Linked DNA regions of Rhinolophus ferrumequinum. The protein of the gene in region 4 purifies or fractionates together with the protein of the main gene of each other region. This does not show direct contact. Links are inferred from orthologs where the notes say so. Each region holds a gene or a part of one and is shown on either strand. Other genes may lie near its edges.

Region 1 (6,892 bases), on a different chromosome or scaffold from region 4:
CTTGTGAGAAGTTAAGAAAACTACTTAATCTCTCCCAGCCTCAATTTCCTCACCTGTAAAATGGGGATCACAGGCATATTTCATAGAGTTGTGGCAAGGGTTTAAATTGGGTAAGATATGTAAAAGTGCCTACTATAGCCAGTGTCCACACTATTAATATTAAAAAAGTAGCATCAAACTTCAAAACAGATGAAAGGAACAATGTCGATGAGACCAAAGACAAGACGCCCAGCTTCATAAGCAGCCCCAGCAACATCAGAGTGAGAGGAGCTACCAGGAACTAGGATTCTCCACTGGAGAGGAAAACACGGTCTGACCGCAAGCTAAGTAAGTGGCTTGCTTACTTATAAGTGCAGTAACGTGCGGTGTGAGGGTGCGATCCCGAAAGATTTTCTGAAATAGTTTCAAACAAGTGGCTCCTAGGAAACAACTGGAATAATCCAATCCACCCACCAGACACGACTGGGAATGGGGTGAGCAGAGGAGGGTGCGAATTTACCTCTTCAGAACCAAGTCTAAGCAGAAGACACCAAACCACTGTGAACAGCTGCTATCCGAAACCAACCTTTCAGATATCTGTTGTGGGAACTACTGTGCTTCCCCGAAAATAAGACCTAACCAAAAAATGAGCCCGAGCATGATTTTTTGGGATGACATTCCCCCGAACATAAGCCCTAATGCGTCTTCTGGAGCAAATATTACTGTAAGACCCGGTCTTATTTTCCGGGAAACATGGTACTGGGAGCATACTGTTCTTTGGAGGCACATACCCAACAGCACCGAATTTGAATACACAGATCAAAAGGGTTTCCTCTTCACTAATCTTTATTTTAAGATGAGGGATGCCTTCATGTTACAATAACCCCAAGCAACACCTGTGGACAAATGTCATCGGAAACCACCACCTAATGAAAGCATGTGGAAGAGCAGGGCAAGAATACTGAGGAATGGGGAGAGTAATGCATGCACTTGACCACACGGACTATTTCCATAGGCCCGATTTAACACAAGAGAAAAACCCTTGTGTTGTGATGTGATCTAACCATACTTCCTCATCTTGCCACGTTCACAGACACTGCATGGTTTTTCTTACCTTTCTTTACAAAGGTATTGATGAATTCCTGTGTAATTAACTCATGAACAGGTAAATTCTTCACAAAGTAATAGGATCCAGTTTCCATGACCAGGTTTTTGAGTTCTTTTGACAGTATACCACATTCAGGAATCAGAAATGAAACCTATTGGAATGTGTAATATAAACAAGTTTTATTTTCACGTAGCTGAACACCCAGGATTTTAGCGATGATATAGATCATGAAGGCTGCTAACTATACCGCCAGAGATTTCTACAAAACTCTCATTAATTAACTTACCAATCTCAAGAAAAGAAACACCTGACAATTCAAGTTTTCATTTCTGTATTCAAATATCGTATAGGAAGGAGAATGACCCCCAAAAAACAAATAAATAATGGAAATGTCGTGCTAGTATTTTATTTTTTTACAAAGAAGCATTATAAATATGTCCTGTTCCTTTTACTAATTTTTAGGGAAAATAGGACAATTGAATATCCCTAAATTTGTTTATCCTGGTCGCGGGTTTGAATCACAGGAAATGTCTCTTAGAGCATAAGGAATTTACCTCTTCAGAACCAATTATTAGTAGGGTACATGGAAGCAGAAGTGCTACTGGATGTTTCTATTTTATAGACAGAAAAATTCTACAGATCAGACCTGGCGAGTTAAGGCATACGTCCCTGACTACTATCTGTGAGTAGTTTTTCCATCCAAAGCGGAGATGTTAAAACCTAACGGGTTTCACACGCTGCCCAAGGCTCCACACATTGAAAATCACTCTCCCAAAGCTGCCGACACACCAGTCTGTCCCGGAAGGGCCAGAGTCAGCACTTGAGTCTCTGAGAAACAGGCCAGTCGGGCCTGAGTTTTGATCAGGCTGATCAATTTAACGTGCTAAAGGCTTAAACCATTATCATCTTGAGATTGATTTTTTTGGAGGTCTCACCACTTAAATGGGTTGGTGAAAACAGCCCTATAGACACTTGACTGGGAATCTGGGTTGTTCTCCTCCACTCACAACAGATCCTGGATAAACCAATAATTAACCTCACTGAGATGCCTCGACTTTCACATCTGAGGAAAAGGCACCCCTGAGGGTGACATTTTCACGAAGCAACAACAGCCATTGTTACCACCCTGTTAAAACTCTTGGTTGTGCTCGCTAGCGGGGCCATCACAGCGAATTTCTCCCCAAAGCTGCCGAAATAGCACAGTGTGTCTTGAGTACACATAGGGCAGCAGGCAGGCAAAGTGGAAAGTTTCTCAGCTATCAATCCAGTTTCCATAAGCAGTTTAGAAAAGCAAGTCGTTATCTGGGCGTAGACTCCGCACGATGCTCTGAAAAATCCACAGGCACACGGGTGGGAGAAGGAATTAGGCGGTGGGGAAGAGGCGAGTCTGGTTTCGATGTGGGGAAAAAGCGAGTTGTACGAGGCCGGCCGGCGGCTGCACTTCGCAACAGTCGCGGCCCTGCCCCTCACATCCCTCCCCGGGATGCTCTGCAAATGGGCCGGGGAAGGGACGGGAGGAACGTGCTACCGGCGCACACCGCCCAGGTCTCCCCCAGGGCCGATACCGCGCCGCTCGCGGCGCATCCTGGGAGTTGTAATCCGGCTGGTCCGCCAGCAACCAGCTCCGACCCGTTTAGAGACTACAGCTCCCAGCACTCCCGGCGAAGGGCCCCGCCCCCCAGCGCCGAGGGCGGGCCCGCCACGCAGAGCGGAGTACAGATCCTCTCAAGCCTCTCCAGCTCGCGAGCCGAGGGCGGCCCGACTCACCCTATAATTATGGTAGTGCGTCTCCACAAGATGCCGGTGGCGCGACTTGTCGTGGCCGAAGTTGGATTTCTCGCAGACCAGCAAGTGCCGGGGTACCTCTCTCAGCCCGCGCAGGGTGGCCATGCTTTCCCTGCCACAGAACCTCCGCGGGCCTGGCGCGCCGCCCCTTCCCTTCGCCCCGCCCCTGAGCCATGCGCAGTGCGGCCCGGCGGCGCTCTTTGAGGCCGACCCCAGGTCGGGGTGGAGCTGGCGGTGCCGGCTGCCCCAGGCTTCTTTGGGATCCAAGTAGAAACTCACTAACGGGTACCTGGCACCGTAAGTTCGCTGAGTCAAATGGAATTACCTGGTACCTGGGAACATGGAACTTGTCATTCCAAAGCCACCTTTCTCTCCAAACCCTCCATCCCTCCCAACTTCTGTCTCGCCATAAATCCTCCCTATGAGCGCCACCCCCACCTTGCTCTTTCCTAAACTGTTAGGAAGTTTGTTTAGGAAGGTAATACCCAATTTCTGTTTTCCGCACTACACTAAGACGCCTTTGGAACCACTTTTAAGACCCCTTTTTAATTATCCTTCCGGAACCTCTTAGTATTTATTGCTGTTGGGGTTACAGTAATAATTTATTTTTCCATTTAATTTTTCTGATAAACTTCAAGTACTACCTGACTAGTTGCTTCTCAAACTGAAGTATGCACAGCCCCAATTCTGTGCAGAGAGGATACCAAACAGTAGAATATGTGGTACAACTTTCTGGAGCATTAATTTGACTATAAAATTTGGAAGAACCCAAGTTAAGTAATTTACAAGGTAAGTATTAAAAGTTTAAGACAAAGCTAGAAGATCCCTTGCCAGTTGTGAGTAACCTGTGCCTGAAATGTCAGGCTGTCTCTGGAAAAAATAAGGAAAACCTATTTTCAATGGAAAAAATTATAAGGAATAGCAAGTCAATTGAAAAAATCTACCAATTTCCTAAATCACAATACAGCACCTAGACATAAGCTACAAATATATTTGGATGTAAAATGCCTAAAACATTGCTTCTTGGTCACAATTAAGTATCAGTGGCCTTTCCAAAAGCAGCCACGTCAGATATATTCATCTCTTGTTGATACTCCAAAGCTTTGCAAAGTATAGTGTGATTCTGTATTTGGGAGCAAGATGAAGCTTTTCTAGCAAGCCACTAAACTAAGTTTTATTAAATTTTGAAGACTCAATATAAATTTTATATATATATATAAATATATACAGCTGTATATATATATATATATATATATATATATATATACAGCTGAAAAATGTGTTGAGCGATAAATACCTGCTATGTAGTTTGGGTATTCAAAACACAGAGGTGTCTTTCCAGGGATACATTATTTGAGGATTTGTTCTGTGGCGGGGTGTGCCTGTATTATGAAACAGAAGGCAAAAGTCCATTTATTTTATAGATTAAAGCTGTAGCTTCAAGTAAATTTGGGCCTGAGGAGTCCTTTCAGCCTGCCTTCCCAGAGTTCTGTGTCTGTAATGATCCCTGGGTACATTTCAAAATATTCCTTCTTGAAACACTTTCCTCTGGATTTTTGAGACCCACCCCCTCCATCTCTTGGATCTCCCCCACACCTTACTCAGCTCCTCTTCCTGCTCCTGCTCCTCCACCAGAAGATCTCTAGTGATTCTCAGCCCCCTTCTCTTCCCTGCCTGACCATTCAGAATGATCCTGCAGTCTCAGCTTTCAATACATCTATATGCTGAAAACTGCCTGGATTCTCTTCCCTGTGGGGAACACTCAGGAGTTATGCCTGACTCTTCTTCCCTTCACACCCCATATGCAATCCTCTGTTGGCTCTGCCTCAACATGCATCCTGATTGCAGTCTCTTTTCATTCTCTCCATTCCTACTACCAGTTTCAGCCACCTTCCTCTTTTTCTGGTCTGCTGCCAGGCACATCCTCCTGACCCTGCTTCCTGTCTTGCCCTCCTACAGTCTACTCTCCACTCAGCACCCAGCATGATCTCTTGAACACATGAAAAACATGATATATGCCACCTCCCTCCACCCCCCATTTAAACCTGCTACTGGCTTCTCACTGCAGTAGCATAAAAGCTTAGATAACCTGGTCCCCGCCCACCTCTGTGGCCTCCTACCATAGCCTTGTTCATACTATTGTGTGTCAGATTTCCTGGTTTCTAGAACTGAAAGCAACCTTAACTGACAAACAGGTATTAGATCTAGAGCATAGGGCATAGAAAGAAAACTCTAAGAGAGAATGAAGGGCCAGAAAAAAAAATGGCTAAAAAAGGGAAAAAAGCACAGGAAACAAAACCATAATATATACACACACTATATAGTAACAAAATGATTTTGTTTTTAAAAACTAAGTCAACAGACTTGCAAAGAAATAAAAATACCTTTGTATTCTTAAAAAACATAAAAATATTCTTAGTAAATCTAAAAGGGCAAAAATTTTACATACCACATTTTGGGGTTACAGTGCAATAAAATTAGAAATAACCAGAATTTAAAGATGCTCAACTCCTTGAAAACGTTGAAATACTCTTTTAAATAAATTAATTCCTGGGTCAGGGTGCAAATCCAAAACACAATTGCAGTGCTATAAATATATGTGGAAATATAGCTAGCAATATGCAGTCGTGGAAGGAGAGAGCTCTTCAGCTCAGAAGCTCCTGGAGTGACTAAGTCCTGTTTTTTGGTGCCCAGCACCGCCCTGGATGCATTTAACATCGCCTCCTTACAAGTCAGAGTAGCAGTGACGTCAGTGCTGGGAACTGACTTGCAGATGCCTGTAATAAATCAGAGGCTTCCGTCCTGCCGAACCTGAACTTGACCTCAGCGCTCTTTCCAGTGCAGGACTCCAGGCAGCCACCACAAATGGACCCTTATTGGTATACAAAAACAAAACCGCCCTCTGATGGCACACAGAGTGGAAACTGGATCTAGCAGCTGCAAGGGAAAAAAACGAATGGCCCCCAACGATACTCCATGGTCCACCCCATGAGAGGACTTGAATCTCAGAAGTTCTGCTCAAGGTGCAAAGTCAGACGATATTTCCTCTCTCCTCAGCTGTCCTCCCTCTGACTGGTTGGAAATCAGTGAAGCACACAAACATTAAAAATGACAACTATGTAGGCTATGTCAGTACATGGAAGTGTACAAATGAAGGAGTATTTTAAAAGCAGAACACTAATAATGTTATATGTCAACTATATCTCAATATAGAGAAAAAGCAGAACACAAAGGGGTTGTATTGGGAAGGACACGCACGTGTCTTCAAAACCAGTGAAGTTGTATTTATGAGGCAGGTGACAGGTACAGGATATATGAACATATATATGTATGTATATATATAATTTTGAATGTATGAAATAGTTCATAATAATTTTTAAAATTTTAAAACAACTTTATTGAGACACAATTCTATACTGTACAGTTCACTCATTTATAGTGTACAATTTAACGGTTTTTAGTATATTCACAGATATATACAACCAACACCACAGTCAATTTTAGGACATTTTCATCACCTCAAAAAGGAACACCCTTAGCTATCACCCTCCTACCCTCCCCACTGTCCTCTCCAGGCCCTAAGCTACCACTAATCTGCTTTCTGTCTCTGTAGATTTGTCTTTGCTGGACAGTTCATATAAATGGAATCATAATAAATAGACATTTGTGACTGATTCCCTTCACTTAGCACAATGTTTTCAAGGTTCATTTATATGACAACATAATCAGTACTTCATTCCTTTTCTTGCTGGCACAATAATTTTTAAAACTTTATTTTCAATGCTGGTACTTGAGGAAAAAAAAGCTTGACTAGAAGGAAATGGGAAAGATTAAGATTTCTCTGGAGGTTCTAAAAGATCTTAAACTACTTTCAAGATCTCTGGAGGTGGATGGCACTGGTGCTTGTTCCAGAGTGTGACTGACTTATTCCAAAAATGGAATATTAAGCTGTGGGGTGAATTTCTGATTCCCAAATAAATGCCAATGAGGTAGAAAGTGGTAGAAGAGTTATTTTACAAG
Region 2 (6,930 bases), on a different chromosome or scaffold from region 4:
ATAAATCACCTGCACAAGCAATGTGAGCTTTCTGTTTTTTTAAAGTTCATTACAGGTCAGCTAGATAAACTTCTTAAATAGGTTAAAGCAATAACTACTATGAGCGTGAGCAATTTTGCTGTCACGGAGTAATGTCTTTTCTAGGGTCATCAGGTCTAAATAAAGGGTTCTTGAGCTGGGTTTAGGTTTAACCTGTCCTTGTTGAAAAGGTTCAGAAATCCTGCGTCAGGAACTCTCCTGGGTGAGTGAGGGTGTTCTAGCCTGAGATGAGGTGCATTGAAGAAAAAATCAGAACTCTGTTACATGTGTCAGGGACTTTGAGTGACATCCATTTTTATTATCAAGAAAACATCCTAGAAATGTCATTAGTAGGTAGATCAGAACTAACCACAATCTCTTGACCCTCCTAATTCCTGTGAGTGTGGCAGTCTCACCTGTTTGCAGCTGCCAGGCAGGTATAAGGCAATAGGGAAGGATGGGACTACAGAAACTACCAGAAATTGGCAGCTGCTACTTGGCTTTGTAATAATGGTCGGGTGAAGCCAAGTTTTTTTCCCCTCAAGAAAAGTGCTAGAACTGCATTTTTTGTCAAGTTACCTAATGAAGTAGACAAGGAACCTGGTATTTTTAAGGTTCTGTGGGTCAGTACTGAGACCAGCTGTAAATCTGTGCCAGTTCAGTTGCTGTGTCTCATTAATGCTTCTACTCCACATGACCTGGACTGCTTAGGGCCCGTCCTAGGGGCTCGGGGTACAGGCCTCAGTGAGAGACTGTGCATCTCGTACCACATAGGGAGCCAGTCTTCTCACTGAGGCCAAGGGTAGAGGGAAGAGACTTGGCCAAACATGACCTTCCTAAGTACATATGCTAAATGCTGTAGGAGCCAAATAAAATTTATTAAACATGCTCTCAGTCAGGCAATTAGAAACAAAGATAGCTGTAACCACAGAGGGTCCACAACCTGCAGAACCACTTGACCGGGCAACGCTAGGTAAAGGTGACATCAGTTGATGTGAATAGGTCTGCCATTGTGAGCTGCTAACTTGGCCTCTGATCGGCAGTCATCCAGTGTGAACTATAGAAGATGCTGCTGCCTCCCAGAATGTCGTTCCAACAAGGCCCTGAGGCCCAGGCACAGTGCCGCCTGCAGAGGCTCACTCCATTGCTTCAGCAGCCTCCTCACCACCATCTGAAAGGTCCTCCTCTCCCGACTCCTCCTCTAGTAAACAGCTTCTTGTGACAGACTTCTGGATAGCTTCCCGCTCTCCTGGAGAAAGGCAGACGGACAGCATGGATGAAAGATGTCTCTGGGAGTGTGACCTCTTATTCAGCTGGAGGTCACTGCTTAGTGGACACTGGGCTAGTAGAATTGCTTACCTTCATCCGTGCAGTTCTGCAACAAGATCAACAGCTGTCTCCTGTTGTATTGAATTAGGAACTTCTGACATGTTCTAATTGTACCTGGCACGTGAAAGAGCTTTGTGGTCAACAGCTGGTGAAATGGGTCTGACTCAAAGACGTTCAGAGCTAGGGGAAGGCTTCTTGTTCTTGGCAGAATAGCAGGAGACCCACCCACTAGTCAAGACTCAACTCTGAACCTGTTACCTATTGAAAATGAGCCATTCCACATGCACCCCTACCTCCCACATGTAAGGTGTTGAGAAAACACGGGTAATGGTGTCCTTTGTTCTCCAAGTATGTGATGAAGGGAAGAGCTGACCACACAAGCTGGTAGAATTCCTTTCGGCATCGAAGAAGCACTATTCCAGTATAGGCATTGAGGTATCGCACTACAGCAGGGAAAAAAAAAACACATTTGGGGGAACTGGATTCTCAGAGCAGGTTAAAAACCTTAGCGTAACAGAGAGCCTATTATGTGCCCAAACTGTTCAAGGTAGTGGCACTTGGGATGCACCAATGAGTTAAAACCAGATTCCAGAAGGAAAACAAATTGTAGGGAAATTTCATTTATGGAAGGGGGATAGACAACACCCAGTGCCTTGCACACTACTCATAACTGGCTGCTGATTTAGAATTTTAAATGCTCTTAATTCACTAGCTCAAATGGAATGGGATAGGGAGGGCGTGTGGAGAAAACCTTTGGCTGAAAAAAAGGTTCTAATACAGCTAAGCATTAGGTTCTTGAAGCAGCCAACTGTCTCACCTGATAGAGAAGTGTGCCTATGTGCATTTAATTCTCCAGGATTCCATTTCGAGCATATGGTATAAGGGAACAAATTTAGATACTGTGGCTGTAGGGAAGGCCCTGTTCTTCCTCATTTACACACACACAATTTGTTCTGTACTTTACTGGCCCTATTAAGGGCTTTTCAGGAGTAATTCTGAATGTTTTTTCCATGTGCTGTCAATGTAACCAGTCAAATAACTTGAATTCTACCCATTCTATTGAGTTTAGTCGTACTCCCCAATATACACATGTCAAACAGGTACAGGGAGTTCTTGCCCAAAGTTCCACTGCCTTCTGCTCTCTCCGCTTAACCTCGGACTCGTCCAGACGTGGGGCTCGGGGGTCCCAGACGCCTGAACAGGACGATATCGTACAGAGGATGGTGCATAGGGGTTGGCAGGCCCTGGGGTCGCTCGTGCTCCTTCATCCCTCCTCCGGCCCCAGTTCCCTCCAAATCTCGCCGTCTGTCAGTTCCCCAGCACCCTTGTACCTGCGAAGCCGATGGAGGAGGCGGCCGCGCCGAAAGTTCCGTGTACGCGGGCGATAGTGTCCCGTACGAGGCCACCCAGCACTCTGTCATCCAGACTCAGGCGGCAGCGGGGGTCGTCAGACACCACTTCGCAGAGCAGGTACCTGCGGCGGGCGAGAGGGAGGTGAGCACGCGGCCAGAGCCGTGGGCACCGGGCAGGGACTGTATTGAGAGGCCAGACAGGTTGCTTACCTGTGCTTGAACCGCACCATGGCGATCTCCGCGTCCGGCTTTCCGTTGCGCAAACCGGATGTCTGTGTTCCCGCTGGTGGCCAATGGGAAGTTAGCCTCCGCAGTCTTGCAGCCACTCAGAGAGGGAGGCAGGATAGAGGGCGGAGCTATAATGTTGAGAGGCCAAGCCCAGTGTCAGTCTCCTTTAAGCCCCGCCTATCTGCGTTTGCAGCGCGCATGCGTCATGCTGAGATCCACGCTGCTTTGGTTGGAAGTTGGACTCGGTGTTGGAGAGGTTCGTGGCGGTGATGGGTAGTTCTGCTCCACGCCAGAATTTGCAATACTCTATAGGATGCAGCTGCTGCATTTGGCGACCTCGGAACGTTTACTTTCTATTATCTTGTAATAAATACAGTTGTGTATGCACTTATATTCTCTCCCCAACCCGGACTGTAGTACTTTTGAGGATACGACCTTGCATTTACAGGCCAGCAATTGACACAGGAAATCGGACCCTTATTTTCAGGTTAGGGCTCGGTTTACTTTTTCCATACAGCGAAATATGTTATTACTGTTTGGGTTTTTCAACAATCTTAGGGAGACGGGTGTATTGTCTCGTTTTTTGTTTACAAAAGCAATCCGGGGGAGTTTTATTTTCCGATTTTTAAGCTGAAAAGCACAAAGAAACAAAAATAAATTATAATCCCAGCACCGAGAATAATTTATAATGTAGTTTGTTTTCTTCCGTTATTTTCCCCCTATACCTGAAGTTCTCAAAGCGAGATGCAAGGACCACTGGGTTTTCTCAGACTCCCTCAAGGTCAAAATTACTTTGATAAAAACACTGAGCTGTTATCTGCCCTTTTCACTCTCTTAGAGTGGACAGTAAAGTTTTCCAGAGGCTACAAGACGTGTGGACATTATTTCTCTAATGGCTAATGGAATTGTGAATTGTGTTTTAAACATTTCTGTTGTAATATTCATGGTAAGGATGGATATACATATTCCACAAAACAAAAGCTCTTTGGGATCCTCAATAATTTGAATGTAAAGGAGTCCTGAGATAGTGAAAAAAGTTTGAACTGAGAACTGTTGCCTATGTTAAATTGTATTTTTTATTTTCTTTTTAAGAATAGGATCATAATATTTAATACTCTTTTTTTTGCTTGAATATCTTTTTAAAAACCTGTCTCATTGAAGTATAACATATATAGAGTGCATATATATATATAGACTTGTATAACCATCTCCCAGATTGAGAGCTTTTCCAGCACCGAATAATGTTCTAGTATCTTCTTCCCAAAAACCTTCCCAGAAGTAGCCTCTATTCTGACTTCTATCATGATAGATTAGCTTTGCCTGTTCTTGAACTTTATATAAATATCCACAACATGGGGTGTGTTTGTGTGTGTGTCCTTCCATTTAACATAAAGTCTGTAAGATTCAGTCTTCTTGTTTGACTATATTTTCATGTCAACTGTTCTGCCATGTTGATTTTTTTCAGCTACATTTTCAGTATTGCCTTCTTTGGAAGTACCACTATTAAACTGGTCAATATTCCCACGATGGACGTTTAAATTAGTTCCATATTTTACAGTTGTACCCAGCACTTTGATGCACAACCTAGTGACTCGGTCTTTATACCTATCCATGACTATTTGTAGAACTGTCCTGGACTTGGCTGGCTCTGTGAGGTCCATGAACGGAGGCAGATTTCACAACTGATTATTTGAAAGATCTGGAATGAGTCCTCAATTTTTCCATCTCTCACTCTTCGCCACCTTAAAAGAGGGATACTGAGAAAGGAAAGGGAGGAGGGGAGGCAGGAGAGCGTGGCCTTGCTGAGAAACCAGAGTCTGCTTTAACTTTCTTCTCACCCAAGAACCACCTTACTATGCCCCCCACCCCCGCAAAAAAAGATCTTGCCAGCCTTCACCTTTTGCCAGCAGGGGGCATCAGAGGCCTGTAGTGTGTGGAGAGAGAAAGACGCCGCTTCCGAGTACCCCTTCTCCCTCCTGTCCCTAAAATCACGTCCCTAACACTTCCCGGCCTTCAACTCACTTAATCCCAACATTTTATGGGATGCAGTTGGGGCTCAGACCAGTCAGTCACACATCCAATAAGAAGCAGGATCAGAATTCGAACCCAAAGCCAGCCAACTCCAGGGTTCTTGTTCTTGGCTACACCGCTGATGTCCTGTCCATGTTTCGCTTGTCCACTTGGTGTAAAATTGGAGAGACTAGAGACGCCGGTTCGAATCCCCTCTCCGTCATTTTCCAGCCACGTGATGTGGGGGAAGTTAATTCACATGTCTAGATCTTATCTATGCCATAGGATAATAATGGTTTCTCCCTCACTGGTGGATGTAAAATTTAAACGAGATAACGTGGTCAAAACTCCTGGCACGGAGTACACAGTAAACGCTTTTTTGAATGCATGATCTACTCCTCCCCCCAGACACAGCCCCCAGAGGAAGCACAGTGGGCCAGTCCTGGGGCCCCCCTCCTCCTACCAGGCCCGGCCCCCTGCCGTCCCCTTCAAGATCTGGACACCCACTGTAGCCTGGCGGAGCCGGCGGCCGGGGCGGGTGGCATCGGCGGCGCCGCCAGCTCCCCGCGGTAATTAGCCTGTGCCGACTCGGGTTCCGCCAGCCGCTAATTACACGTCTCCTAATGAGGCCGGCGGCTGTTTGCAATTACCCAGGTCCCCGCCGCGCGGCGCGGGAGGCCACCGGGGAATCCGCCCACAGAGGAGTGGAGGGCGGCCGGGGCCGTGAGATCCGCTTGGCGGCGAAGGGTGTGTGTCCTGCCCGGCGCGGGCGGGGCGCTCACCGTCAGTCACCTCGATTCTCTCCCAGTGGTGCCACAGAACCATTATCCCCACTTTACAGGGGAGTCAGGGGACTGAGGCTCAGAGAGGCGAACTCATGCAGACACAAACAAAACTCACGCTAGAATGAGGCTAATCGTGATCTCTGACCGGGAGCCTCTGCTGTTAACCTATACAGGTTCTGTCTGGATCAGTGGGGTGGGTACTCGCTGTTGTTACTTCTGGGACTCTCAGAAGAAGGTCCCAGCTCAAATGAATTGGGGGTTGGGGGAGGGGGCTTGGGAAACTTCCTTTGAGCGCTTCCCCTTCTTCCCATCTGAGGGTTCCCATGCTCAATTTGTCCTTTTGGATCAGACACAAAACTGAATATTAGCTCTGGCAAGTCCTTTAAAACTTATTTGGAAACATAAATCACACAACCCATTTCACAGACTGGGAAATCTGGAGCATTCCCTAGGTGGTCCTGGCAGCTGCTAAAATGCTCCCATAAGATGGGGGTGGGAAACTACAATTGTTCACCTTGTTCCAGGACCTTCTAGGGAGATCCAGAGTAGCTGGATCCTTTATTCTTCATCTTTATCTTCTGGGACTACCAGTTATTAGGCTCTTACTATGTGCCAGGCAATGAACTAGTAAGCACTTTATATATTGGACTTCATTTAGTCTTCACAACAACCCCATGAGGGCAGGTATCATTATTCTCTGAGGCTCAGGGAGGGAAATGATTTGCCCAAAATCACACAGTAATTTCAGTCTAAAAAAGACCTTTTGTCTCACCCCAAAATCTGAGCTATTAACCCGAGTCTCTATCTCTTCTAGGCTGTCTGTAACCTAGAAGGATGTTCAAAGAAGTCAAACCTAATTGGGGTGCCATTCTGAAGTGACTTTGGCATCCAGGGGTTCCCTATCAGAGCCTGGGAGCTGCTGGTGGCTAAGGAAAATTGTGTCTGCTTCAGCATTTTGTTAAGTAGCCACTGCTCATTAGGAGCTCCTGCTCCTCTAGTCCAATCAACCAATTCCTTGTAAAGACTTTATGGGGACAATCTGGATAAAATTAAGCTCTCCATCTGCCTGGCCAGGGGCCTGGGAAGCTGCCACATCCTGCAGGTTGCTGGGGCAGACATGGCCCTCCCTGGACCTCAGAGTCAGAAGGTCGCATTCGCTCCTCCATCCTCCTCACTGCCTTATGGACTTCTTTCCCCTTCCCTCACCT
Region 3 (6,892 bases), on a different chromosome or scaffold from region 4:
GAAGGGAATGATCCTCACACTCGGGAAAACGGCACACCACCTTCTCTGGGGTGGGCCCAGCCCCCGGGGTAGGGGTTTTGTCACTGTGCCCACGTTGCAATCCCCTTTACTTGGGTTTCCAGTTCTGTGGATGAATCGTGGCTACTCTCCAAGCCTGTTCCCACATCACTTGGGGAAAGGAACTGTCAGCACCCCTCAGGCCCTGCCCCCACGCCCGTGCTCACTCTCTTGTACATACAGCACAGTGTCATGTGACCGTGGCTCTCAGAGAGGACTTCTGGGCAAACCGTCATAATCGTGTATAATTCTTGAAGGAACTCCAAGCATCGCCGCCTCTCGAGCTGGAGACCTCCAATCTGTCCCTCATTCAGGAGCGGCTGCCCGGGTCTGCCACAGCCCAGGGAGCACCACCCACTGGTGTCTCGGCGGGACCATTTCCTGGGCCCCTGTTGCACTGGGCCACAGGCTGCAAACCCCCCGAGGCTCCTGTGTCTGTAGTCATCAAGCCCTCCCCTCAGGGGGGCGGGGAATGAAGGTGTGATGCACATAAGGAGCTCACCGGGGGGAGGGCACGTGGCTTCAGCTTGGTACCTTGGATGCTAACTAAAAATCATCACTATTATCTCTGTAAGGGAACAATTATTTGACTGTGGGCCCTCCTTCATGGAGAAGCCAAAAAAAGTATATCCGTCTTTCAAAATCTTGATTTTGAGGTATCTCCCTCATCATGAGTCACCAGTGGAGCGTGTGCCAAACTGACAAATCATGTTTGCAGCATCCAGGTATACTCCATAAATTCCACTTATGAAATGTGATTTGCCTGCCCTCTTCAAGGGTGAAGGGGACACAGTGACAACGTCAAATGACAGTGCTCACAGGCGCAGGTTTCAGGTGGGCATAGCCTGGCGTCCCCTACATAGTGGGTGATGACACAAGGTCAGGAAGTCCTAGTTAACCAAGCTTGACTTTGGCACGATGGGAAAGGAGGCCAGCATATGAAACAGGCCAACAGAATAACAGAGCTCGAGGGAACCTAACACGGCTACTGGAAAGGTGAGGAGTAAGACCTGGAAAAGGACACCTAAAGCAGCACTAAAGGCTAGAAGCCACCGGGTGGACTTCCTCCCACCTTACCTGAACATCAAACTCTTCCGCCTCTTTCTGAGAAAAGGCATGGTAGATCGCACCTGGGGGAGTGAAGAGCACAAACACGGAATGACTCCTGTTGGGTACGGCTATAAGAGCCAAGAGGCTTTTAACTACGAAAATAATTATGCTTCTTCAGAGATAGGAGAAGATGGCACGGTGTAAAGAGCAGTTTCAAAACTCCCTTGGATGCCTCTTCTCCTACTCTCTGGCCATGTCCATCGTGGAACTCCCAAGGGGGTGCTTTAAAACAGGGCTTCTCAAACAGCAAGGTGTGTAAGAATCTCTGGGTTCTTAGGAAAAAGTGGATTCTTGGCCCCACTGCCACACCCTGCATTCCTAGCAAGTTCTCCATGTCACTGTGGGTCAGCGGGCCACATCTGGAGTCGCAGTGGTTTAAAATACCGTAGTTTAGAAACCTGGGAAGTTGCTCAATTAGTCTAATAAAGTAACTCATCTAAAAGTTATATGATAGGGCTTTCCAGGATGCAGGTGGTTGGCAATATTACATTTTGTTACGTGTAAGATGTTTAAAAAAGATTTTTCACATTTTACTATCTATGAACTTGGGATGTACCCTACAAGTGGTGCCCTAAACTGAGAAAATACAGGTCTTTCTTCAAGATCAAAGTATATCAATCATTGATGTGGTTTCAACTTCTACAAACTTCCACACTCCTCTTTTTTACTTAATTTGTCTGAAGAAGAAAACTAGGGCACTGAGGACAGACTATGGGTCTGAACAGAGTAAGAATGAGAGAAAGGCCTGGTTTAAGGGACAGAAGAATAGAAAATTTGGTTCACACTACACTCTGTAAATTTCATCCCAGCTCCCTTGTGCTTCCCTGAGAACATGTGATGAAGCAAACCAAGTGGCTGCAAGTTTGATGTCTGGAGTTGAGTTCTCCCTTGTGATGGGGAGAGCAACTTACAGGGCCTGGAGCCCCAGGAAGGACTTTGCCTCACCTGTCACAGGTGCCTAGCTTTAGACTTGGGAGGCTTTTGTAACAGTACACATCTAATGGTATTGAGCCCTCACTACTTGCCACGAAACTCACTGAAAGCCACACATATTTCATCTCATTACACTTTCTGAACAATCCTTTAACACAGTTATTATTAAGTTGACACAGGTAGGAACCCGCAGAGGCGGAACTCAAAGTCCTGACCCAAAGCCCCGTTGTAACGGTGTTTCCGCTCCCCTGCCTGTGACTGCCCTGGGTGCTCGCTCCGCTCCGCTCCCGAAGCTTTGCGTTAGTGGTATCACTGCCCAGCAAGCGCCCAGAGCTCTACACCAAACAAGGGTCGTTCACAGAGCAGCAGGTGCCAAGGCACCATTATCAGTAACTGTACTTTACAGAAGGGGACCTCGGTCACCCAGGGAGGAAGCGGCCACATCGGGCCAAGGCCTTGGGCCCTCCTCTAGCTTCAGACCCCACTGAGCAGCCCCCAGAGAACCGGCCTCCAGCTCTGCCATCCACCCTGCGCGGAGGCGGGGTCAGGCTATCCGGGCCCCGGGCCCGTTTCACCGAAGTGAGGTTCCCGTAGGACTCCGCAGCGCTCCTTCTCACCCGCCAGCACCAAGCCCGACCCTTCCCGTCCCACCCCTCCGCCGCTGCGGCCCTCGACCCCTTACTCTTCATCCTCGGACCGCTTCCGGCGCGCTCTGATGACGCCTGCGTCAGGCGCCGCTCAGCGGTACCTTCCGGCTCCTTCAGCAGCGCTCGGCCCCCGCAGCCTCTCTCGTCACAGCCGCGGGTGGACAGGTTCCGGGCACCCGAGCTCGCGCGCCACGCTAAGTCGACAGGCTGCCCGCTCGGACGCAGAGCGGGGGTCGCAGGCGCGCGGAACGCGAGGACGGCGCCGCCGTGACGTCACCGACGCGCGCCGACCTAGAGTGGCGCCGGCGCGCGGGAGCGGCCTCGGCGGCTGGCGCAGGTATGGCCGCTCCCGCGCTCGTCTGTCCCTCGGAGCGGGGCTAGCCTGTGTGTTTTGTGGGCGGGGGAAGGCTAGAAGCCGCAGGGCTGCGGTTAGGGCGTGTGGGATGCTTGATCCTTTCTTTTTTTGTATAGCTCTGAATGATAAGCTTTCAAACATGCACGCAGATGTTTTCCCACTAGTGGTTTTTTTGTGAAATTTCCAGGGGAAGTCGAGTTTTGATGGTATCATTGCAGATGAGTCTGCCCCCCCCCCCCCAACAATTTATTGTGAAAATCTTGAACTATACAGGAAAGGAGAAGAATTTTACAGTGAACACCTGTGCGCCATTCGATTGTACAATTAACGTTTTGCCGTAATTGTACAGGTTTCCTCTGATTGCTGCTTTAAGACATTCAGGCCGGGAGGTTGAGTACTCTAAGAGAAGTGTCATGTACAAGCCCCAAAAGATTAAGCCTCAACTATTAAACAAGCGGGCATCTATGAAAATTAGGACCCTTCTAGTAGAGTTTAAGTAGAAGAAATGGTAATGATCCTGAAGAAGCACCAGCAAATCTGTAATGAGAACATGGAAGGCTTTGTTTTCGGTGAAAGTTGTAATCCTCCAAGTTAAAAAAGTCGGTGTATTATTTTATATATAACATAAAATATAATTTGATAAAATATATGTATATACACATACATATGCATACACATGCACACACGTGTATATACAAGGGGTGATCAAAAACTACAGTGAATGTTTAAAAAAAATTATTACAGTAAAAGACACATTGCTATTAACCCCCTCAAAATACTCCCCCTCCTTTCGAACACACTTATCCCATCATTCTTGCCACTTTCTGAAGGGGTCCTGGAAGTCCTCTTTTGTGAGTGTCTTTAGTTACGCTGTCCTGGCTGCTTCCATGTTCTGAATCGATTCATAACGTTTACCTTTCATGGTCCTCTTGACTTTGGGGAAGAGCCAGAAGTCACATGGTGCCTGATCCAGTGAATAAGGTGGATGAGGACACACCGTAATGTTTTTATTGGACAGAAGTCGCCATATCCGAAGCGATGTGTGACATGGAACGTTGTCATGATGGCGGATGAAACTCTTTGCCCATCTCATGTTAATGTGTTGTTTGTGATCCATGATTTACGGCACACTTTAAAACACACCTTCTCTCAACCGTAGCTCACACCCGACTGACTGCACCAACAAGTTGAAACTTGTCACACACACCGTTACTAAGGTTCGACGCGCCGCTTCCTGTGTTGAAGATCTCTGCCTTTCCGTTGGATGGCACTCAGCAGCAGCAGTCACAGTGTGTTTTGATTACATCTTGTATATGTTCGTATGTATATACATACAGAATTTTTTCTTTCTTTTGTGTTTTTGTGAAGTGGTTAAACCTGGTGTGTTTGAGAGGGATGAGCCCTGTTCTGCTGTTTTAGACAGGAAGGCCTTGTTTGTGCCATGGGATTGACAACAGTACCTGCTTCCTAGGGTGGTGTGGAGCACTCAGTGATATGACGCCCATGTTAAAACAGGGCTGGCACAGACATGGTTTGAGAGATGCTAGCCATCGTTGTCTGCATTCTCACAAAGCTGAAACAGTCCCTGAGGCTCAGTGTTACGAACTTCCCTGGCCCTGCTTTGCCTTTGATCTGATGATTGTCCAGATGTGGTGTATTGAGAAGGGGAACTGGGAGTGGTGGTGGTGGGGGACTGCACACGGGGGCCCCAGCAGTCATTCCTCAAGCTCAATAGTGCCACAGGAGACTGCCCATTCTGACAGCGAGTGAAGGGACCAGGCTGTAAGGTGCCCGTGCTAACATGGGATATTCCTGCCAGGCCAGCCCTGTCCTGCTGGGTCACTGGGTGCTCTGGCTACAAGAAAGGACCGATGCTTACAGGGGGACAACGTAGCAATCCCTTCTGGTCACGAGACAGCACTGTGTTCTAAATTAGTTTAAGAACCATTTGGAATTTTGAACAGCAGGGGCTAGGACACTTGGCATGTGTGACCAAATACCAGTTTCTGAAATCCAGGTTTCTCAGTCTTTCAACCCCCAAAAGTCACTCTTCAAGGCTGTCTTGATCCCAAGTGTCTAAAAACTCAACTGTCATAGATGCTTCCAGTTTCCTGATGAAGTTTTACTCTGAGCTGAACTCAACTGAGGAAAGCTTGGTTTGAGTTTCATGACAGGGTGTCTTAATGAACTGGATGGAGGCTTTTGGGGGTTGTAAGAGATCTTCCCTGGATGTCGTTCCTGAGGCCCTGGAAGGTTTTGCAGGGAAGTCAATGCAGGCTGCATGGGGCAGGCGTGCATGCTGCTGTGTGTTTGCATAGGTCTGAGTCCATGATGGCCCCAAATATGGGAAAGTGGGAGGGAGAACCAAGCTGACAGAAAATCACCCCACACTGCCATTAGGACAGGGCTGGAAAGCAGAGACCTGGTTTTATGATGTTTGACTCCCAAAGCCCCTCCGGAGGTAGGGAACAGACCTCCCCTTCAAGATATTTGAAGCCAGATGGGGACTTGAGCATATTGAAAAATATAATTCAGGGAAAAAGTCAGGCCCTCGGCATCGCTGCCCAACAGGAAAAGGTATGCCCAACAGGAAAAGATGGAGACACCTCTCAGCCTTCCCACGCTCTTCTGTTCTGTCACCTGCAACATCCAGGTTAAGATTTAAAAACCAGTACGTATGACACACAAAGAAGCAGGAACTGTGACCCATAATCCAGACCAGAAATGGTCACTAGAACAGGACCATTGATGACCCACGTTTTAACTGGAAGACAAGGCCTTTAACATACTATTATAAATACGTCAAATGACTTAGTGGAAAAGATGGACAAAATGGGTAAAAAGATGAGGAATTTCAGCAGACACATGGAAATTCTAGAGCTGGAAAAGACTTTTTCTGTTTCCTGTGATGGTAGGTGCCTCCATGTTCAGACTTAACATTTTCATACCTACTGAGAATATGTGCCCAGAGCACACACACCCTTCCTTTTTAATCATGTGATAAATACTGTTTCCCTCGAGCCCCGAGGCCTCTCTGGGCCCCTGTGTCTTGCTTGTTAAATGAAGGGAGCATGGGGACTGTGTCAGGCCCCCTTGTAGCCCCTGCACTGCCCGCTGCTGCAGGGACAAGTCCTGGGAAGCGTGCTTTGTGTGCTCGGGTCCTGGTGGCCACTTCCTGTGGCTGGGAGCCCTCACAGGGGCTTCAGGAACCTGAAGAACTGGCCTGTGGAGGTTACCAGCTGGGGAATAGCTCCACGGCCGGGTTGGTTCCCGTTTTCCATCTTCTCAGGACCCACGTCCATCCTCATTTGTGAGGTTCCTTTTGCCTGTCAGTGTGGTAACAGGAGGACTGGCCTGTTTACCCAGCGCTGGTCTGCAGAGCGCTCAGGCCCTGGGGTGGGCCGCAGCGCTCCTTGTAAGCTTGGAGTGGCTCCTGTGTTTCTCTCAGGTCTTTGGGCTCAATGGGGGACTCCGAGGACCCATGGAGTATGGAAGGAGCATGCGTCTCTAACACACACCTGGAGGCCTTTGCTTTTGGAAAGGACGCCCCCACACTTTCCCCATAGGAGCCAGGAGGGGGGCCGCCGTCCATCTGACACAGGGTGGGGGTGGGTTGGGCGAGTGGTGGAAGAAGTAAGGGCAGAGGTGGCTGGGGTGCCAATGACAGGCCACACTTCGGATTTTTGACAAGGGTCGAGTCTGCTATGAAACCTGTTTTCCTATGTAATGAGGTTCCTTGATTCCCCCAAAAGAGCTGGCATTAATATTAATTCCGCCATTTGGACTATGT
Region 4 (8,004 bases):
AGAATTTAGGAGACTGAACTTACAGGCAGACTTTCATGTAGTGGTGCTCAGAGGGATTTTTGTAAACTATTCTTTCATATGTGGCAGCTGGGGCTGGCATCATTTCCATGCTGATTACACCTACGTTGTGTCAAGAGGGTTAGAAATTAACAAGGTACAAGCTACTTTTCACTTTGTTAATGAGAATTCGACCTATTTGATTTTTTAAAGAACTCCTAAGGACTGTAACTCATTTAATTCTGGTCAAACTAAGGTTGCCCATACAGACACAAAGGAAGTTTCTATATTTCATATATGCCAGACAAGTGTATTATTTAAATTCTAATAACATAACCCCACCGAACATTTTCCCCTACTGAGTACCCAGCTCTGTGCTAAATGCTTTACATGCCTTAGGTCATGTCTTCAAAATGATCCTATGAGATAAAAGCTATTATTATTTCCATCTTTGAGAGGAGGACATTGAAGCTTGGCAAAGATAAGGAACACCTGCGCAAGGGAACAAAGATTCCAACCACTCCTAGCGCCTTCATGACCCTCTGGTATGATGCCTCTTAATCCAAAAAAGTAAAAACATAAAGGAGTAAATCTGGGATCTGAAGGCCCTCTTCTTGTTTACTCTCAGCCAACACAGAACATGAACAGAACGAGGGGTAGCAGTTCTGCTGACTGGATCTGCAAGTTCTTTCCATCAGGCCAGGTCAACAGAGGGCTATGTGGCAGCCCCATGAAAGACTGAGCTTAAACAGCAACGGGTTTGGGGCGAGGAATTCCTGGGATGGGCACTCCATGCCATTTCTAACAGATCTGCAACTTTCAAGAACTCAGAACACGCTGCTCCCCCTGTAGAGAATCCCTGTCCTTGGCTCCATTCCCACTTTACTCTCCCTTTCCATAGTGCCTCCTCATCCTGCGAATTTTAGCTTACAGTTCATTTCTTCCAGGACTTTCACCTCTTCAGGGGAGCCTTCTTTGGCACTCTGTTCTGTTAGGTTCCCTTGTTATGCAATCTCTTAACATTGTCTATTTAATACCTAGTCCCCCCACATAGGAACCAGGAAACTGAGGCACTACCAAGGAAAGGGACTTATCCAAGGTCACATCGCTATAGACCAGCATTTGCAAAATCCTCTGGTTCAGGCCAGTTCCGACCACTCCTAGATAGTGACCACCAGAGAAAATGAGAAGTCAGGGTAAAAGAACTACAGCCAGCCATTCAACAAACGTGAATATTTACTGTGTCTGGCACAGAGCAGGCATTCGACCAACTTACTGAATACATGACTGAATGACAGAGGTGTTAGGCCTGTACGTTCAAGAGCATCTTTGGTTTCAGGACTGCGGCAATGGTTACCAACCACTAGTCTCCTGTGACTAGAATGGCAGGGAGAACAGGACTCAATCATTTCATTCATTGCCTGGCACATGATAGGTGTTTTTTAAGTGTTACCGACTAACTTGCCAGAATTGGCTGCCTGAGGTAGGAGAATGAGATTAGGCCTGGGGTTTAGGATGCCAGTAACAATGAAGATTTACAGAGTATTCTGGAAATGGATAGTGGTGATACTTGCACAATATGTGTACTTAATGCCAAGAAATTGTACATTTAAAAAAATGGTCAATTTTGTTGTGTTTCTCACCCCCACACACACTCAGACTTAAGGAGCAAGTGTTGAGCAATCACCTCTCGCTGGACAAGCCTGAGCCTCAAGGTCAATGAGAGCACTGCCCTCTGCGGGCTGTCCTGAGACTTAAAAAGACGGATGCCTGGGAAGCCCTTCCTACAGCCTGGCATATTCACCAGGCTCACCACAAAAATGTGGGCACTTCTATATAGTCATTGCCGTCGTCACCTTTGAAATCAGCCTTTTAAATGGCTACAGACACACTTTACTTCATCCGTTAGTAACTGCTCTCCCTGCTTCCCTCCTCTAACTAGCCTCTACTACAGCCATCGTGAGCCTATTAAAACCTATTCGAGTCACGTCATTCCTCTACTCAAAACCTTGCAATGGTTGCCGTTTCCCTCAGAGTAAAGCTCAAGTCCTTACAGCCGCCTGCCTGCAAGGCCCTACCTGATCTGCACCTCGTGTCCTGCCATTTCCCCACACAGGCCTCCTAGCTCTTCCTCACACTGCAGTTTCCCTCTCGCCTCTGGGCCTCGCTCCCAGCTTCTCTGCGTGCTGGAACATTCTTGCACCAGGTAGCCAGCCAGCCACATGGCTCACTCCCTTGCCTCCTTCACGGCGTCGCTCCAATCTGACCCCTCGATTTGATCCAGTGTCTATCTGATACGGCACCCCCTCCCACCATGCTCCTACTTTACTCTTCTCACAGCACGCACCACCTTCTAATATAACTACGTAATTTCATTTGTTTGTACTCCCCATCCCAACAGATGTACACTCCACAAGAAACTGGGATCTGTCTTGTTCACTGTTTCCCAAGAACCTAAAACAGTGCATCGCACATAGTAAGCACTCCATATGTAAATTTTGGACTAAATCAATGACGTTAAAAATAAAAAAGCTAAATCCCCTACTGTTGCGCACTTAAGTCGTTTTCAACTTTTTTCGATTAACGTCCATTTGGCGTCCAGCTGGCGCCGAGAGCATGCGCTCAGCACCATTGTCACAGCCACGCTCTGCTTCCGCGACCGCCTGGTACAGAGGCCTGGGAAGGACCGCGGCCGGGCCTCGCCTTCCAGCCGCCGGGTCCTCCGCGGAAGCGGAAACCTACCTCAGGCCACCCTGCGCCGCCCGCCGTCACTCTCGTCTTGCGCATGCGGCCTAGGCCGCGCGGCCTGCGTCACCCGCCGGCCGACTAAGCCCAGTCCCGGAAAACAGCCGCTCTGCTATGGGCTTCCGCCTACCCGTTCTTCGCGGGACTGCGCTGACGCCTCCCTGACTCCTGTTCACTGCGAGAATCCGCCAAGGCCTGGAGCTCCCCTGCAGAGGCTTGAGCCTGAGTCCGGGAAACTCCGGGGAGGTTCACGTTCGGCTTTAGTCTGCCCGCCCCCCGGATGCGTGGCGGCTAGGCGCGGATGTGACGTCACCGCGAGGAGTCCTCCTAAGGACCCAAGAGTGAGTCCTTCTCAGGAGCCGGGGCCTGCCGAGCTCAGTACCCTCTGGTGCCCACTCCGGAGAAAACCGCGTGTGCAAATGTCTGCATGGGGTACGGGACTCAGGGCCTGTTTATTTTCCCAGGAAGCTTGCTTCATAGTCATTCATTTATCCATGCAGTCGTTCATTCAGTAAATTTATATCGAGCATCTCTTCTGCTGGGCATCTATGTCATTACTCACCAAGGACACGACCTGCTCTCAATGTCTCTCGTGGCTGACAGCACATAGTAGGTGTTCGGTCGGCTGGAGTTGACAAAAAAGACCCAGATGGTCCCATTTACAAATGTAAGCCAAATTTCATCTACGCATTTATTCATTAAGTACTTGCCGAGCTCCTTGTATGTGCTAGATACTGAGGATTCAGCGGAGAACAGAAAGGCTTCTGTACTCATGAAACAGCTCTTGTATTTAATAATAACAATAATAACAGCTAGTATTTATCAAGTGCGTACTTTGTGCCAGGCACTATGCAAAGAGCTTTATATATGTTACCTCACGGAGCGCTCACACTATCCTAATGTAGCTATCCTTGTGATCATCCCCATTTTACAGAGGTGGAAACAGGCAAAAGAGGCTCAGTGCCTTGCCCAAGATCACACAACGGTAAGTGTGTCATTGTAAAGTGGGCCGTCTGACTCCAGATGGTGTTCTCCACACTGCAGCATGGTATTACCACCGATCGTGTGGGATGAGGCAGGGAGTATTTGGGAGAGTGGCTGGGGCTGCCAGAACGAATGTAAGCACCGTGGGGATGGGCCCGTGTCTCCACTGGCTTACCACTGCCCCTCAGAGGAGACAGGACTTGTTCCAGATTTCAGGAGAGGTTGAGGAAATCAAAACAGACCCCACAAACAGTGGCATTTTCTTTCTCAAAAAAGCATGGGTTTCAGATGCTGCCAAAATTAGCTTCAGATTCATCATCTATCACATGGAGAGATGAATAGCATCTACCTCAGAGTTGTGAGGCAAAAAAAGTGGTGTAAAGTATCTGGCACCCGGCAACACTCTGGAATGGAAGAGAGTTGCCTAAATCAGCTGCCTGGCAAATCCATCCTGCCAGGCTGCAGCCCATCAAAACCAACGCAGCTCCTGTATGAGGTGTAATCAAACAATACGGCAAATGTTTAAATAAAAAAAAATTATTACAGTAAAAGACACATTGCTATTACCCTCCCCCCGCCCTCGCTTCAAACCCATCGTTCTTGCCACTTTCTGAAGCAGTTCTGGAAGTCCTCTTTCATGAGTGTCTTTAGTTGCGCTTTCGTGGCTGCTTTGATGTCCTGAGGCATTTTGATGCCGGGCAAGAACCAGAAGTCGCACAGTGCCAGATTCGGTGGATAAGATGGATGAGGACACACCGTATATTTTTATTTGACAGAAATTGTCATATGCCAGAAATGATGTGTGACATGGAGCATTGTCATGATGGAGAATGATGTATGGCACACTTTAAAACATCTCTGAACTGTAGCTCACGCCCGACTGCAGGGAACAAGTTGAAACGTCCCACTGTTACTAAGGTGCGACGCACCATTTCCTGTATTGAAGATCCCTGCCTTTCCGTTGGATGGCATTTGACAGCAGCAGTCACCATATGTTTTGATCACATCGGAAAGGCGCCGTGTCACACATTGCTTCTGGTAGGGCAATTTCTGTCAAATAAAAACAGTACGGTGTGTCCTCATCCATCTTATTCACCGAATCTGGCACTGTGTGACTTCTGGCTCTTCCCCAAAGTCAAAATGACCATGAAAGGTAAACGTTTTGAATCGATTCAGGACCTTGAGGCTGCCATGACAGTGCAACTAAAGACACGAAAGAAGAATTCCAGAACTGCTTCAGAAAGTGGCAAGAATGATGGGATAAGTGTGTTCGAAGTGAGGGGGAGTATTTTGCGGGGGATTAATGGCAATGTGTCTTTTACTGTAATAATTTTTTTAAATTTAAACATTCACCGTGGGGTGATCAGATAGCTTAGTTGGTTAGAGCGTGGTGCTGGTAACACCAGCGTTGCCAGTTCGATCCTTGCATGGGCCACTGTGAGCTGTGTCCTCCTTAAAAAAATAAATAAGTAAACATGAATACATAAATAAACAAATATTCACCATATGTTTTGATCACACTTTATATTTTGGACTTCAAAGAACTTGAATAATTTTCACTCTCCTGAACCAAACCCTGAAAATGAAGTGCCTTTCACACCGCCTGAATCCTCTTAGTGCTGTCAGAGTTTGGGATAAAATAGTTGGTTGACCTTTGTTTTTCCATTCAATTTTATTTTTTGAGTAGATACTTGAGGCTTTCGGCATACATTTCAAATGGTATAAAGGGATAAGCAATGAAGAGTAAGTCTCCTTCCCACCCCTTCCCCATGAGCAACAACTAGTATGAATTTCTTAAGTGTCTCCCCAGAGATATGGTAGGGGGTGCTTTCCCTTCTTAACAAGGTATCTTAATATTATTCCAAATCAAAATACACAAGACTGCCTCAGTCGTTATAAAAGTTGCCCAGCATTGCATTGGGTGAAGTCAGTTGGCTCAAACGGGGCCATTCTGGATACTCTCTGTATCTGACATTTCAGAGCAAAGTTGTTGGGAAGGATCTGCTCGTATTGATACAGGAAAGTTAGCATGTCCCTAGGTTGACAGGGAGGTCCCTGGTGGAATAAACAAAAGACAGCCATATCCTAAAACTTCAGGTTTTAAAATCACTCCTTTGCTCTAGGACATAATGTAACAAGGCCCTGAGGTTAATCATAAAATTCCTTTTGGCCTGACAAATGGAGCAGATCTGATAGATAAGAGTGGATTACTTTGCTGATTCCTTTAGGATGGGTAAGCAGAACAAACCTGGTAGACGAATTTCATTAGAAGGCGCCAGTTCCCTTCTTCAAACAGCTCCCCTTCCCCAAGCAGGCAAGGGACGGTATAAAAGTAAGAACTTTTGCCTCAGTCATGGGGCACTCCCCATTCGGGACCCCCCTCCCACTCCGGAGCTGCAACCTCTTCTCCTGCCTCTAATAAACTATCCTCTTTTTAAAACTTTTTGCTTCTCCCTGGTCCGTATTTCCATTCTTCGGCTTCACGCGACACGATCCCGGCCCACACTCAGAAACTGCTTTCAGATCCAACATCACCTGCATCAGTTTTTTATGCATCTGGAAGCTATGGCAGTCAAGAAAGTGATGAGTCCATACTTCCACCCGCGTGGCTGTTGTCAGCTCCCCTCCCTGCCTTGTGAACTGGTGCCAAATGGATTTTGCTCAAAGTTGAGGAGCGTTCACAATTTGGGGGAAAAAGGCAAGAGAGAAGCCCGAGTAGGATGACAGTCCCTTAACATTCACAGCCACAATTCTCCATCAATCACACGGGAATTGTATCCATTTATGTCAGCAGCCTGTGAAGATAGGACAAAGGAAGTGAAAATGATCAGACATTAAAGGCTATGAAACTGCAGCTGTTGTTTCCATTTAGGGAGACCGGCCAAGTGCTAGACAGTTTGCTCACATTATCCCATCTACCCTGCAATGTCACTATTATTATTGCCTTTCACAGATGAGGAAAAGTAGCTCTAGAAGATAAGTCATTTGTCTAAGGCGGTGAGAGGCCCTAGAGCCTAAAATGCTGTATTCCATCCTTCCCATGTGAACGCAAGGCTGGGAGCTGCTCTTTTGAGGCAACCCGGAGCATTATCACCAAACGGGAAGCTTTGAAAAGCAGCCAGTGCGTCCGAGGCCCTAGAAGCCAAACCTGAGACAGGGATCTCCATGGAAGTTATTTTTTGGGGACAGCTATTTTGTGTGAAACCCTTAAGGGAAGAAGGAAACAGGATGGGGTAGGGGAAGAAGCTAAGCAAATGAGTTCAGCTGCAGTCTAGCTTTAGCCTAATCCTGCAGGGGAGCCCTAGAGCATAAATGATACCAGAAAGCTTCCAGCCTTGGAGGCAAGGAGGCCAAGCCTTCATGCGCAACACCCCTTCCCCCCCACAGTCAGTCATTGACTGCCAGCTATAGGGTTGCCAGATTTAGAAGAAAAAAAAGATACAGATTGCCCAGTTAAATTAGAGTTTCAGATAAACGATGAATGGGATAGCCTTACACTAAAAAGGTACTCATTTATCTGCAATTAAATTTAGCTGGGCGTCCTGTATTTTATCTGGCAACCATAGCAGGTGAGAGGAAGTGAATGTGGCATATCTCTCAGGTATCTCCAGTCATCTGAGGGTGGTTCTTCTGGGGGAAAGGGCAGCTGTGAGCCCTCTGCAGCCAACACCCGCAGAGGTGGGGGTTGGGTGCAGGAGTCAGTAAAGGGACCTGGGAAGAACATCAGCAGCACCCACTATGGGCAGGGACTCTGGGGGCAGCTCACCAGTCAATTGTAAAAACGACCAGCAGCTCTTGCCCAGACTCTTATGTCCAAAGCATCCTCAGGATAGCCTGGTCCCCGCTTCCAGCCCCCTCCCTAGCTGCCTTCTGAGGACGTTTTTTGCTCCTGCAGTCATTCTCCTGCTTGTGTTGGGGCTAGAGATGGAACTGGGCTATTTAACTTCGTTTCATCCAGCATTTTTGAAAGGTACTTACTTAAGTAGTGGAGGAGCCTTTCCTCTGAAGTGAAGTTAGAAACCTCTCCCTTAAAGAGGCCCCAGGACCCCAGGAAAGGAGAATTTGGAGAGGAGATAACCACCTGTACTTAAGCAGCTGTTTTTGGAGGGGCCCAAGATCCTTTCTTAAAATTCAGAGATCCTCTCCTAGCAGGTTCCCTACAAAGCAGTCCACCCCACCCCCACTTTGGAGGACTTTGCATCCTTATCACAGGAACCTGGGGGATCTGTGGGTTCTAACCAACAAGAGCCCCAAGATATAGAAGTGAAAAGGGCAAGC

Evidence for each region.
Region 1: the proteins of RPP14 (region 4) and RPP40 purify together in Homo sapiens (co-immunoprecipitation; 3 studies listed by BioGRID and IntAct, with this or other methods). This does not show direct contact. The link is inferred for Rhinolophus ferrumequinum from reciprocal best matches to the Homo sapiens genes RPP14 and RPP40.
Region 2: the proteins of RPP14 (region 4) and POP5 purify together in Homo sapiens (co-immunoprecipitation; 3 studies listed by BioGRID and IntAct, with this or other methods). This does not show direct contact. The link is inferred for Rhinolophus ferrumequinum from reciprocal best matches to the Homo sapiens genes RPP14 and POP5.
Region 3: the proteins of RPP14 (region 4) and POP4 purify together in Homo sapiens (affinity purification with mass spectrometry; 3 studies listed by BioGRID and IntAct, counting the BioPlex papers as one, with this or other methods). This does not show direct contact. The link is inferred for Rhinolophus ferrumequinum from reciprocal best matches to the Homo sapiens genes RPP14 and POP4.

What each region holds. Positions count from the first base shown.
Region 1 is NC_046292.1:88,848,642-88,855,533, reverse strand, and holds the start of RPP40 (ribonuclease P protein subunit p40), read right to left. Parts: upstream 3,021-6,892; 5' UTR 2,978-3,020; coding exon 2,855-2,977; intron 2,802-2,854; exon of another isoform or gene 2,124-2,801; intron 1,239-2,123; coding exon 1,094-1,238; intron 1-1,093. UniProt on the Homo sapiens protein: Component of ribonuclease P, a ribonucleoprotein complex that generates mature tRNA molecules by cleaving their 5'-ends. Also a component of the MRP ribonuclease complex, which cleaves pre-rRNA sequences.
Region 2 is NC_046308.1:13,276,928-13,283,857, forward strand, and holds POP5 (ribonuclease P/MRP protein subunit POP5), read right to left. Parts: upstream 3,014-6,930; 5' UTR 2,930-3,013; coding exon 2,910-2,929; intron 2,822-2,909; coding exon 2,679-2,821; intron 1,791-2,678; coding exon 1,641-1,790; intron 1,462-1,640; coding exon 1,378-1,461; intron 1,268-1,377; coding exon 1,155-1,267; 3' UTR 290-1,154; downstream 1-289. UniProt on the Homo sapiens protein: Component of ribonuclease P, a protein complex that generates mature tRNA molecules by cleaving their 5'-ends. Also a component of the MRP ribonuclease complex, which cleaves pre-rRNA sequences.
Region 3 is NC_046298.1:2,073,912-2,080,803, forward strand, and holds the start of POP4 (ribonuclease P protein subunit p29), read right to left. Parts: upstream 2,790-6,892; coding exon 2,783-2,789; coding exon of another isoform or gene 2,695-2,782; intron 1,188-2,694; coding exon 1,135-1,187; intron 1-1,134. Other genes in the region: uncharacterized protein LOC117034730, read left to right, coding at 2,695-3,084, 4,262-4,417. UniProt on the Homo sapiens protein: Component of ribonuclease P, a ribonucleoprotein complex that generates mature tRNA molecules by cleaving their 5'-ends.
Region 4 is NC_046300.1:52,910,994-52,918,997, reverse strand, and holds the start of RPP14 (ribonuclease P protein subunit p14), read right to left. Parts: upstream 3,007-8,004; 5' UTR 2,873-3,006; exon of another isoform or gene 2,740-2,872; intron 2,734-2,739; exon of another isoform or gene 2,543-2,733; intron 121-2,542; 5' UTR 110-120; coding exon 24-109; intron 1-23. UniProt on the Homo sapiens protein: Component of ribonuclease P, a ribonucleoprotein complex that generates mature tRNA molecules by cleaving their 5'-ends.